Linked DNA regions of Cricetulus griseus. The protein of the gene in region 3 purifies or fractionates together with the protein of the main gene of each other region. This does not show direct contact. Links are inferred from orthologs where the notes say so. Each region holds a gene or a part of one and is shown on either strand. Other genes may lie near its edges. The genes, in order: Nasp, Asf1b and Hat1.

Evidence for each region.
Region 1: the proteins of Hat1 (region 3) and Nasp purify together in Homo sapiens (affinity purification with mass spectrometry; 3 studies listed by BioGRID and IntAct, with this or other methods). This does not show direct contact. The link is inferred for Cricetulus griseus from reciprocal best matches to the Homo sapiens genes HAT1 and NASP.
Region 2: the proteins of Hat1 (region 3) and Asf1b purify together in Homo sapiens (affinity purification with mass spectrometry; 6 studies listed by BioGRID and IntAct, counting the BioPlex papers as one, with this or other methods). This does not show direct contact. The link is inferred for Cricetulus griseus from reciprocal best matches to the Homo sapiens genes HAT1 and ASF1B.

The regions. Positions count from the first base shown.
Region 1 is NC_048595.1:35,763,454-35,767,638, forward strand, and holds the start of Nasp (nuclear autoantigenic sperm protein), read left to right. Parts: upstream 1-1,322; 5' UTR 1,323-1,445; intron 1,446-1,796; exon of another isoform or gene 1,797-1,870; 5' UTR 1,871-1,909; coding exon 1,910-1,968; intron 1,969-4,185. UniProt on the Homo sapiens protein: Component of the histone chaperone network. Binds and stabilizes histone H3-H4 not bound to chromatin to maintain a soluble reservoir and modulate degradation by chaperone-mediated autophagy.
Region 2 is NC_048596.1:160,448,266-160,452,097, forward strand, and holds the end of Asf1b (histone chaperone ASF1B), read right to left. Parts: intron 2,767-3,832; coding exon 2,590-2,766; intron 1,540-2,589; coding exon 1,333-1,539; 3' UTR 503-1,332; downstream 1-502. UniProt on the Homo sapiens protein: Histone chaperone that facilitates histone deposition and histone exchange and removal during nucleosome assembly and disassembly. Cooperates with chromatin assembly factor 1 (CAF-1) to promote replication-dependent chromatin assembly.
Region 3 is NC_048599.1:103,763,219-103,766,864, forward strand, and holds part of Hat1 (histone acetyltransferase type B catalytic subunit), read right to left. Parts: intron 2,368-3,646; coding exon 2,216-2,367; intron 1-2,215. UniProt on the Homo sapiens protein: Histone acetyltransferase that plays a role in different biological processes including cell cycle progression, glucose metabolism, histone production or DNA damage repair. Coordinates histone production and acetylation via H4 promoter binding.

The DNA.
Region 1 (4,185 bases), on a different chromosome or scaffold from region 3:
GCTAGGATCAGCTATATGATACTATCTAAAAAACAAACAAAATCCCAGTGCTCAGGGGGCAGAGGCAGGCAGATCTCTGAATTTGAGGCCAGCCTGGTCTACAGAGCAAGTTCTAGGACAGCTAGGTCTACACAGAGAAACCCTGTCTCAAGAAACAAAACAACAATAAGGGTTCCTGATTTAAATATCTTATCTTGTTTAACATTAAAAAAAATTTAAAAAGCTGGTCAGTGGTGGTGCACATCTTTAATCTCAGCACTTGGGAGGCATAGGTAGGCAGATCTTTGTGAGCCATCAACGCCTGGCTTCCTGTACATAATTTTAAAAATTAAAAATATTTGAGACAGGATCTCATTATGTTTCTTGGTTGTCCTGGAATTCACTATATAAATCAGACTGCCTGGAACTCAGAGATCCCGAATGTCTCTAGAGTGTTGAGACTAAAGGTGTTTGTGACCACACCTGACCTTTTAAACAAGTTATTTTTATTATTATTATTTAGTTTTGTTTTTCAAGAAATGGTTTCTTGCAGGGTGGTGGTGGTGCATGCCTTTAGTCCCAGCACTCGGTAGGCAGAAGCAGGCAGATCTCTATGAGTTACAGGCCAGCTTGATCTAAAAGAGCTAGTTCCAGGACAGCCTCCAAAGCCACAGAGAAACCCTGCCTCAAAAACAAAAACAAAAAAGGTTTCTCGGTGTACTCTGGTTGTCCGGAGTCTAGCTTGGTAGATCAGGCTGGCCTTGAACTCAGGGAGATCCACCTGCCTCTGTCTCCTGAGTGCTGGGATTAAAAGCGTAGGCCACCACGCCCCACCAAAAAAGTTATTTTTAAAAGATTCCACTTTATTTTATATGTGTGAGTGCTTACTTGCATGCATATACGTGAACCATGTGTGTGCCTAGGGCTTCTGGAGGTTAGAGGACGACACTGGATACCCTGGAAGCGGAGTTACTGACAGTTGTAAAATAAGATGGGTATGGTGGAGCTCACTTGTAATTTCAGCACTTGGGAGGCGAATCTCTGTGAGTTAGAGGCCAGCCAGGGACATAGTGTGAGTCCCTTTCATATGTACTAAAGATAGAAGTAAGATAGCTAAAAAATTTAAAGTGTTTTAAGTACAGGGATTCAGCTCAACAACTCAGTGTTGGAATGTGGGTAGGGTGTCAGATGAGGGCGTCACTGGATTGGGCCAGCCAAAGGCGCGTGGATCTAGAGAGAGGAGGAAACATCCCTACTCCTTTGCCCCTCTGAGTTTTGAATCTAGCGCGATAGTTTCATCTGTAGCCAATCGTAGAGCAGCACCTTCTTTCGTCAGTAGTTGCTGAGGCCCAGAGCCACGAGTCTCTCGGGTCAGTTCTAGCCGTTGCTGTTGTACTCGTGCTCGGCTCTTGCGTTTCCATCCGTTAAGACTGAGAGGGCATACAGAAGACCTGTCACCTTCTCGGGTATCCCCGCCAGAAAGAAACCCTCGGCTACTCTTTCCACGCCCGCAGAGACTCACTGGCTCCACTTAACGTGGAGGCTCTGGCTGGCTCCATCAGAAGTTGTAGTGCCAAGATTCTGGTGCTTCTAACACGGCCAGCTACCGGGAGCAGGAAGTTCTTTTGTTGTTCGATTTTCTTTTCTTTCCAAGGAAAAGCGGGCCCGGGCGGGAAGATACCCAAACGGGAAGGGCTGCGGGGAGGTGTCCTTGTGACGGAGAGGTGTTGAGTTCTGGCCCTTTAAACCCAAGGGGGAGGATCCGGAAGTGGATGGGCGGGGCAAGCGGCCCCGATATATAAGAGGGCCCCAACCGCGCGGGGTCTCCAATCTGCCATTTTCTGTGCCTGAGTAAGTCTTTGCTGTCCTGAATTCTCTGTTCTCTCCACAGGCAGTGCTCTGCCCACCGGCCCACCGCGTCAGGGGAACGATGGCCACAGAGTCTACAGCCACTACTGCCGTCGCCGGAGAGCTGGCTTCCGCTGACAAGTAAGCCGGACTGTGGCGAGCGGGAGGCGCTGGCCAGTCCGTGGGGAGAGCTGTGGACTGGCTTCGCGGGCCGGAGGGCGGGCGGGCGGCGGGCCCGGCGGGGGGGTGGGACAGCTGCCTTTCCCTGGAGAACTGCGGCTGTCCGGAGGGAGCGGGGCTGTGGAGAAGCCCCCCCCTCAGGCGGCGCTGGCGACCGGCGCTAACGGCGGGCGGCTGGCGCCCCCTGCCCGGCTTTCCGCGGCCGCCATCTTGCCGGGGGCAGCGGCGGCTGTCTCCATCGCCTGCCCTTTTTCTTCCTCCCCCGGCCCGGGGCTGCCGCCGGTGGGGAGGCGGGGCCCCCCCGTCGCCGGTCCCCTCTTGAGCTCTTACTCTCGGCGCACTAGCGGGAGAGTCTGTAGAGGAATCTAGAAAACGACCAACAGATTTGGCGCCAAAAGAAAAAAAAAAAAAAAAAAACCTACACACGAGGATTGAGGCTCAGACCTGAGGGACCCGAGTGGGCGGGGCCTCGAGGAGGGCGGGACTTTGCACGCGTGCGTTCCGTGTCCCGGCTCTGGAGACGGGGGCGGGGCCTCGAGGAGGCGGGAAAACTCCATTGTTTGGGGTTTGGAGCGGCTCCTGCGGCAGCCGCTGGGCGCAGTGAAGTTTATCTCGTTGACTGTGTAGTTGACTGTAACCCGCGGGGTCGTTACGCGACCGAAGCCCTGCGACTCTCCGCTTTTGCTGAGAACCCTCAGGGTGTCCTTAGACTTTCCGTGTGTGGGTCGGAGATTTGGTTGCTCCAGGGGTCATTTTCACACTGATGGCTTCTTCGGTAAACGCTACACGGAGAATTCCGTACTTGCTAGATGAGTCTGCTAAGATAAAAGGACCCCCCCCCCCCCAAGAGGGAATAATTGCTTTGAGAGCTTCACAGTGCTAATCAAACATGAGCTACTTTTTTGGATAGTGCACAGAAACGGCCCATCATTTGGAGGAAACAAGTTTTCCGTACAGTAGGTCCTACTTTCCAATCTTCCCTTGTCTTTTAGGTGCCTGCTAATATTTTTTTTTTAATTTATTTATTAGTTCTAGTTAGGGAACAAGCTTGTTCACATGTAAATCCCTTCTCTCTCTCCCTCTCCCTCCCCTCACCCCATCCCTCCTCCCCCACCCCCAGCCTACCCCCACTCCATCCACCCACCACTCCCCAGGCAGGGTAGGGCCCTCAACGGGGGGCTCTGCAAAGTCCACCAAATCTTCCTGTGCCTGCTAATATTTTTTTCCGTCCCTGTACATTTTAGAAGTTTTTCCTCTGGTAAAAGTAAAGTTGGCTGTGGGGTTTTTGAGTGTTTTTTTTTTTTTTTTTTTTTTGCTGTAGGTTTAGGCATACTAGTTGACTTTTCAATTAGTACAGTTGTACCAGATATTAACGTATCTTTGCATACTTTACCTGTCACCTTTTGGTTCCTTTTCTAGTGGATTCTTGAAAAGCAGTGTTTCTCAAATCACCAATTTCCTGCCTCCTCATTGATTTCTTAGGGCCAGAGTAGCTTGAGTTAGGAAAATCTGTAGAATTTATTTATTTCAAGACAGGGTTTCTCTGTGTAACAGTCCTAGCTCTCCTGGAATTCTCTTTGTAGATCAGGCTGACCTCAAACTCACTGAGATCCACCTGCCTCTGCCAGTTTGGCCTCGAACTCTGAGATCTGCCAGCCTCTGCCTCCCAAGTGCTGGGATTAAAGGAAGGCCTGTACCACCACAGACCGGCTTTGTTTTTTGTCTATAGTTTTTATTATTATTATTATTATTTTGAGTCAATTAAAAAAATGTTATGGGATTGGAGAGATGGCTTAGCAGTTAAGACCACTGGCTACTCTTCCAGAGGACCTGAGTTCAATTCCAAACAACCACATGGTGGCTCACAGCCATAGTGGGATTTGATGCCCTTTTCTGGCATGCATAAAGTTGTACATACCAGGCTGGTCTCAGAGATTCATCTGTCTTTGCCTTCCCCATGCTGGGATTAAAGACTTGCACCACTACCGACAGGCATATAACGAGGGCTCTTAACTGCTCATCTATCCATCTTCAGTCTCATTAAGTAAATTCTTATTGACTCACATGACTATAGTGTGAAGTCTTAAATTTTTCTACACGTCAGAAAAGTCAAGTTTAGAATGGAGAGATTGTCAAATTATTATTTTGAGTTTTCATTTCTTCAATTTCCATGAAAAA
Region 2 (3,832 bases), on a different chromosome or scaffold from region 3:
AAGTTTGAGGTCAGCCTGGTCTACAGAGTTCCAGGACAGCCAGAGCTGTTATACAGAGAAACCCTGTCTCAAAAAACAAAAAAGAATCACTTAATGTTTAGGCCAGGTAGTGGTGGCACATGTCTTTAACCCCAGCACTTGGGAAGCAGGGGTAGGCGGATCTCTCAGTTTAAGGCCAACCTGGTCTACAGAGCAAGTTCAAGGCAGCCAAGGCTACACAGAAGTCTTGTTTCAGAAAAAAAGGAGGAGGAGGAGGAGGAGGAGGGAGGAAGGAGGAGGGAGGAGGAGAAAGAAGAAGGAAGAAGAAAGAAGAAAGAAGAAGAAGAAAACAAACAAACAAACAAACAAAAAAACAGGCCGGGTGTTGATGGCACATGTCTTTAATCCCAGCACTCGGGAGGCAGAGGCAGGTGGATCTCTGTGAGTTTGAGGCCAGCCTGTTCTACATAGTGAGTTCTAGGCATGCCAGGTGGGGGGTAAAAAAAAAACCAGAACTGAACAATCTAGATGAAGTGCTTTTATTTTTAAACCAACCAAAACTTTTAATATAAAAGCATTTTCATATACACACTGCACTCACAATAGCATCCATGTAGCAGCAGCAAGGGGACCCAGGGCTTAGGGTAAGGGTAGATGGAGTGGGAGTTTCTCAGGTCAGCCTGCCAAATGCCTCCTTATCCTGGAGTATTGGGTAGCTCATGAGAATATGTCATCAAAGCAAACCCTGATAACTCCATGAAGCAGGACCTCCAACATGCCTCCTACCCAAGGCAATCCTCTTAGAAAGCTAGGCTCAGTCACAATGAGAAGGTGGCTGTAACCAAAGTACCCACCATACCTTCATGGCCTGGGGAGCTTACCTTTGGGGATTTTTCTAGCAGTGGTTAGACTTAAATGACCTAGACACCCTGGAAGGACACTGGTGGTACCAAGTCTGCCTTCTAACCAGTATTCCTTGCCTGAGACACCAAGAACTGGAGTGAGAAGGAGTGACAACCTTTGGCCAAAGGCTAGCCAAGCGTTGCCCAAACAAGCTTCAAGGAAGGTGATATTCAAAGAGCTTCTCAAAGGCACTGATAGTATAGAAGAAAAAATGACACAAAGAATGAGCATATGAGTACCTGCTTCTTAGAGGCTGATGGGTCAGAAGTGAGAGGATTCTTCTGGACCTGAGCTGAGAGGTTGGGGTCCATATTTTCCTTGGGGCTGACAGGTCTGGAGGCAGCTAGAGGCCCTCAAATCCTTGAGATGACCAAGCATGAGGGCCTGTAGGTCCCCTCTAGGTGTGCAAGGAGACTGGCCATGGTCCTACTGGGACCAGCCTGGCCCCCATCAGATGCAGTCCATGGAGTTCTCCGGGAGGAGGCCTGAGATGCAGCTAGGGAGGCCCAGGCTTTTGATGGGAGTGCAACTGAGGGGAAGGCCATAGTCCGGGTTGGGGTCCTGGTTCTCTGTGGCTTCCAGCCTGTCTGAGTTGTTGTCCCAGTTGATATGGAATCGGGTCACCCGGGGCTTAGAAGCCAAGATGTTCCGCTGTAGCTGGAGCAAGAAGAGTGTCAGTGCCTATCACCTAAGGGCCAGGATGCCCTCCTACCTCCACTTTGAGCCCAAAAGATGCTTGTACACTATGGAGTAGGAACAGGGCCTTCCTCATCCTGGTTTTGCTTGGGTTTGTTCATTTGTTTTTTGGGGGGTTGTTTTGAGAGTCTCAACTATGTAGGCCAGGTTAGTCTGGAACTCACAGAGATCTGCCTGACCCTGTCTCCCAAGTGCTGAGGTTAAAAGTATGCACTACCATGCCTAGCATGATTTTTAAAAAAGTTTTATATATATGGGTGTCTGGCTACACATATATCTGTGCACCACGTGTGTGCCTGGTGTGTGTGTGTCTGGCCTTTGGTGGCCAGAAGAGGGCACAGAGTAACAGCTTGTGGGTGCTGGGAATTGAACCTGGTTCTGAAGAACAGCAAGTTTCTTAACTGCTGAGTCCTCTCTCCAGCCTACTTAATTAAAAAAAAAACAAACAAACAAAAAAAAAACTTTATTTTTATTATATAAATGTTTTGCCTACACATGTCTATTTGTTACATTTGTGCCTAATCCCCATGGAGGTTAGAAGAGGGCATAGATCCCCTGAAACTGGAATTAAAGGTGGCTGTGAGCCACCATGTGGTTGCTAGGAATCAAACCCAGGTCCTTTGCAAGAGCAGCCAATGCTCTTACTGCTAAGCTATCTCCAGTGGCCCTCCAGCACCCCCCCACCTCCACCTCCCCACCTGAAAACAGGGTCTTACTATGTAGCCTAGGTTGGTCTGGAACTCATTATGCAGAGAAGGCTGGCCTCCTAACTTATGATACTTGCAGCTCAGCCTTCTGAGGACCGGGATGCTGGGATCACAGTGTGCTACATTCCCCCTAGCTCTAGCCCTGATCCTGTCAGGCATGCCTCAAGAAGAAAAGACTTGCTTCATCCTAGCTCTACCTCAAAGACAGCATGACCTGTTAACCTTCACTGACCTGGGCACCCATCTCCCTTAGCAGTAAAGGAACTGGCCTGTCTGAAGCAGGAAGTACAGAGACAGACCTCACCTGAGAGAAGTCTGGCTTTGGGGGTGGGTTCTCCCGAAGCTCTGGATTTGGGTACTCATTGTTGACATAGTAGCCCACACGGATGAACTCTTGTCCATGGTAAGTGCAGGTGATGAGAACCACAGTGACACCCACGGCGTCGGTCTCAGGAATGAGGGATGGATTGGGGGCATCAGCCTGGGGAGACACATCCTGGGCTTTAGCACTGCCACTCATGACTCAAAGACTACCAAAGAACTGGACTAAAAAAACTGACCAAACAGGTAGCTACAAAGAGATGGTGAATTTGACTCGGCAACATGATTGCTCAGTATGCAGAGTCCTACCTTCTGTCCTTAGTCTTAGTAACAACAATAGTAAATTCAGCCAGGCAGTGGTGACACATGCCTTTAATCCCAGCCCTTGGGAGGCAGAGGCAGGCAGATCTCTGAGTTCGAGCCAACTTAGTTTACAGAACAAGTGCCAGGACAGGCTCTAAAACTTCACAGAGAAACCCTGTCTCGGAAAAAATAAGTAAGTAAATTCAAAACTTCGGAATGTGACTAGGAGACAAGGGTGTTTAGGCAGAATGTGGTGCAAAAAGGAACTGACAAGAGATGAAGTTGGTCAGGTGGATATGAGGCAGCCCCAGGCCTGCTGGGGAAATTCAGGGCTTGGGAAAGAGCAGTGTTTAGAAGAGGTAAGGTCTGAAAAGAGTGCAGGTATGTGGAGGTCTAGCTGCAGAAGGTTGAGCAGAAGCAGGGAAGCCAGTCAGGAGTCATCCTGGACAGGATGACTAATCCCAGCAACAGAGAACAGAATCACAGATCAGGGTGTGTGGCTCTGGATGGAGCAACTATGTTATATGAAACCAATGCAAATGAAAACACCTACACTTAGCCAAATCCATGACACAGAGCAGAGCATCCCCAGTGGGGATGTTCAATGGCCAGGCTATGTGCCCTGGAAGAGGCCTTGGCTCAACAGGCAGGAGTGTTAGGGGAGCAGGTAGCTTGGAATAGGGGAAACAGTAGGAGGGAGGTAATGGATCATGATTTCCTTAGCACTTGCCAATGAGCCTAGACACTGGACTGGACATAGCAGCACCATTTGGAAGTCACAGCCCATCTTCATATTCACTGAGTTTACAAATCCACCAATTAGATACATCTAGAAACTTAAAAACCAACAAGTGTGGTACTTTCATAATTACTTACTAACATGTAAAAAGTAAGGAAAACCCAGTGCTGAGGTTCCAACATGG
Region 3 (3,646 bases):
TATATATTATTTCTAAGTATATATTCCTTATTTTAAATAGGAAGCCACTAATGGGCAGAAGATAGCGAGTTTCAGTTCACATTGTATTGCTGAAAGTAATCAGCAGATTTTTGGCTGTGGTTCTGAAAACCATACTCTAGATTTGATGGTTTAGATGAAATCTCCCAAGAAGAATGAGGGAAAAATGAGTATGAAGAAGAGTTACATTTAAGAAGCATCTGAGGGTTGGAGAGATGGCTCAGAGGTTAAGAGCACCAACTGCTCTTCCAGGAGTCCTGAGTTCAATTCCCAGCAACCACATGGTGGCTTACAACCATCTGTTATGAGATCTGGTGCCCTCTTCTGGTGTGCAGATATACATGGAAGCAAAATGTTGTATACATAATAAATTAAAAAATCCTAAAAAAAAAAAAAAAAAAAAAAAAGCACCTGAAAGAATAAAAACTAGCTGGGCAGTGATGGGGCATACCTCACAGCACTTGGGAGGCAGAGGCAGGCAGATCTCTGTGAGTTAGAGACTAGCCTGGTTTACAAGAGCTAGTTCCAGGACAGGCTCCAAAACTACACAGGGAAACCCTGTCTTGAAAAAAACAAAACAAACAAACAAAAAGAATAGAAACTAGCAGAAGTGTTACAATTAGGGTTAAAATGTGCACGGATTACAGGAACCATGAAGCTCTCAAAGCCAAGGTGGCCAGCAGTATCAAATGGCTTCCTTAACACTGAACCCATGTATTTCATACTCCAACCCCTACCCATTCTTTAGTTTTTACAAAAGGCTATTCTGCCAAGACAAATTAGAAAAAGAAGTGCAAGAGTTGAATGCATCAAGAAGGAAATTTCACCAGGCAGTGGTGGTGCACACCTTTAATCCCAGCACTTGGAAGGCAGAGTCATGTGGATCTCTGTGAGTTGAAGCCAGACTGGTCTACAGACTGAATCCCAGGACAACCAGGGCTGTTACACAGAAACCCTGTCTTGAAACCCCACCACAAATGGAAATTCTATTAACTTTATTAGTTACAATGTGAATTTTCACACTAAAACTCATTTGAATGTGAAAAAAAGCACTGCCTTCCCCATGAAGTGCCCTGAATCTCTTTCATAAATATGTACTAACATATATAACTTCTTTGACATCCCATGTTTTTCCTATCCCTATATTTACTACTTTAAAATTTAAACAAATATATAGCATAAAAAAATGGGAGCTAGCAAGATGGCTCAGTGGGTAAAGATATATGCAGCCAACCCTGATTACCTGAGTTTAATCCCTGGAGCCAACAAGGTAGAAGGAGAAAATCAATTCTAGGGAGTTGACCACTGACCTTCACACTTGCACAAAAGAAAGTGTATTGCCCCCCCAACATTAAAAAAAAATATAGAAAATGAAAATTACACATTTTCTTACTACTTTTCTACCAATACATCTCCAGGGATAGAATCACTTCACAGTTTAGTGTTTTAGGGCTGGAGAGACAGCTTAGAAGAGCACTGGCTGCTCTTCTAGAAGACCTGGTTCCATTCTCAGTACCTACATGGTGGTTCACAACTGTCAGTTTCAAGGGATCAGATACCTTTTAATTTCCTTGGTTACCAGGCACACATATAGCATAGACATACATGTAGGCAAAACAACATACACATAAAATCTTGCACCCAAAAACTTAAATTAAAAAAGATTTTACTGAATTTTCATATGGGGATGGTGGTGGTACAAGACTTGTACCAAGGGCCATGTTAGAACTCCGAGGACAACTTTCTGGAGTTGCCTTTCCACTTTCACCATGTGGATCCTGGGGACTAAATTCAAGTCATTAGGCTTGGTAGCAAACTCCCTTACCCACTAAGCCATTCCGCCAGTACAGTTTATCCTTTTACTCATCTTTGCTCTGATTATTATACTTAGTACAACAAAAAAAAATATTCTCTTCTCATTTATCAATAAGGAAAGTGAATACTTAGTAGTACAGTGTAACGTATTCCCTCATCACTCTGTCAATTAGGAAAGTGAGGTACAAACCATAAACTAAACTGCTTTAGGAGACAGAGCCAAGTTCTAGATGTAGGCTGGAACCTGGACATATGACTTCAGAACCTACAGTCTAACCACTGTTGCTTCCCACACATCTTAATGTCCTTACAATAGTTTAGTCAAGTACTTAAAATTATTTTTTAGATGTTTATCGCCTACAAGCTAAAAATCAAAAAATACCTTATTTATTTTGAACTTCTGTTGTGCTTGTATTGCCATATCTTCATTGAATCCTTGCATTAATCTTTCCCGGGAGAAACAGGGCAAATCTTGACAAAGCTTCACAAGCACAAAGTCTCTTAGTTTTACATAGCTTTTGGATGGATCTTCAGCTAAAAAAAAAAGAAAAGAAAAATATGTCACTGCCCTTACCCAACACAGTTCCACCACCATTTATAATCTCAGTAATATGGTAACATTCTGAAAAGAAAATTATATACCCAAAAGTCACAATATTAAGATAATTTCTGATAACTATTGTATTAAGTAAAATGGCAGGTATGCTTTACAAAGACATTTATACTATTTATGAAATGAGAGCTGCTCATTTTACACATCCATTGTTTGACTGGAATGTTACCACATGCATCTTCATTTTAACTGCAGTCAAATTAGCCATATAAATAAAATATTCAGGTTTGGACAATAATTTCAAATGCATTCATTTTTTTGGTAGCTAAGGATTCCAAGGTCAACCATCAGTTTATTTTTTTTAAGGCACTGGGCCTAGTGGCCCATGTCTTCATGTATGTATGTATGTATTTATTTATTTATTTTTATTTTATGTGAATTGGTGTTCTGCCTGCATGTATGTCTGTGTGAGGGTATCAGATCTTGGATTTATGGACAGTTGTAAGCTGTCATGTGGATGCTGGGAATTGAACCCGGGTCCTCTGGAAGAGCAGTGGGTGCTCTTAATCACTGAGCCATTTCTCCAGCCCAGCTATCACTTTCTTTTAAAAGAATTTTTGTAAAAAAAATAAATAAATAAAAGGAAAAAATAAAAAAATAAAAGAATTTTTGTTGTTTTTTTGAGACAAGGTTTGTCTGTAGCTTTGGAGCCTGTCCTGGAACTCACTCTGTAGACCAGGCTAGCATCGAACTCAGAGATCCGCCTGCCTCTGCCTCCCAAGTGCTGGGATTAAAGGTGTGCGACACCACTGCCTGGCTTAAAAGACTTTTTAATTCATTGCTTTAGAATTTCATACAGCATATAATGTGTTTTAATCAAGCCCCCTTTTTATTCTCTACTCCAAGTCTTCCCATATTCCCCAAATGTAGCAACTGTACATTCCAACAGCAACATTCCCCAACAGCTTTTTTTTAAAAAAATATTTTATTTATTTATTATGTATATAACATTCTGCTTCCATGCATATCTGCACACCAGAAGAGGGCACCAGATCTCATAACAGATAGTTGTGAGCCACCATGTTTTTGCTGGGAATTGAACACAAGACCCCTGGAAGAGCAGTTGGTGCTCTTAACCTCTGAGCCATCTCTCCAACCCAATCCAACAGCTTTTACTACCCTCCAATAATAATTCTTGAAGAATATGGTAAGGACACAATTTTGATCCTTCTTTCATTTCTGAATATCACACATCTTTTA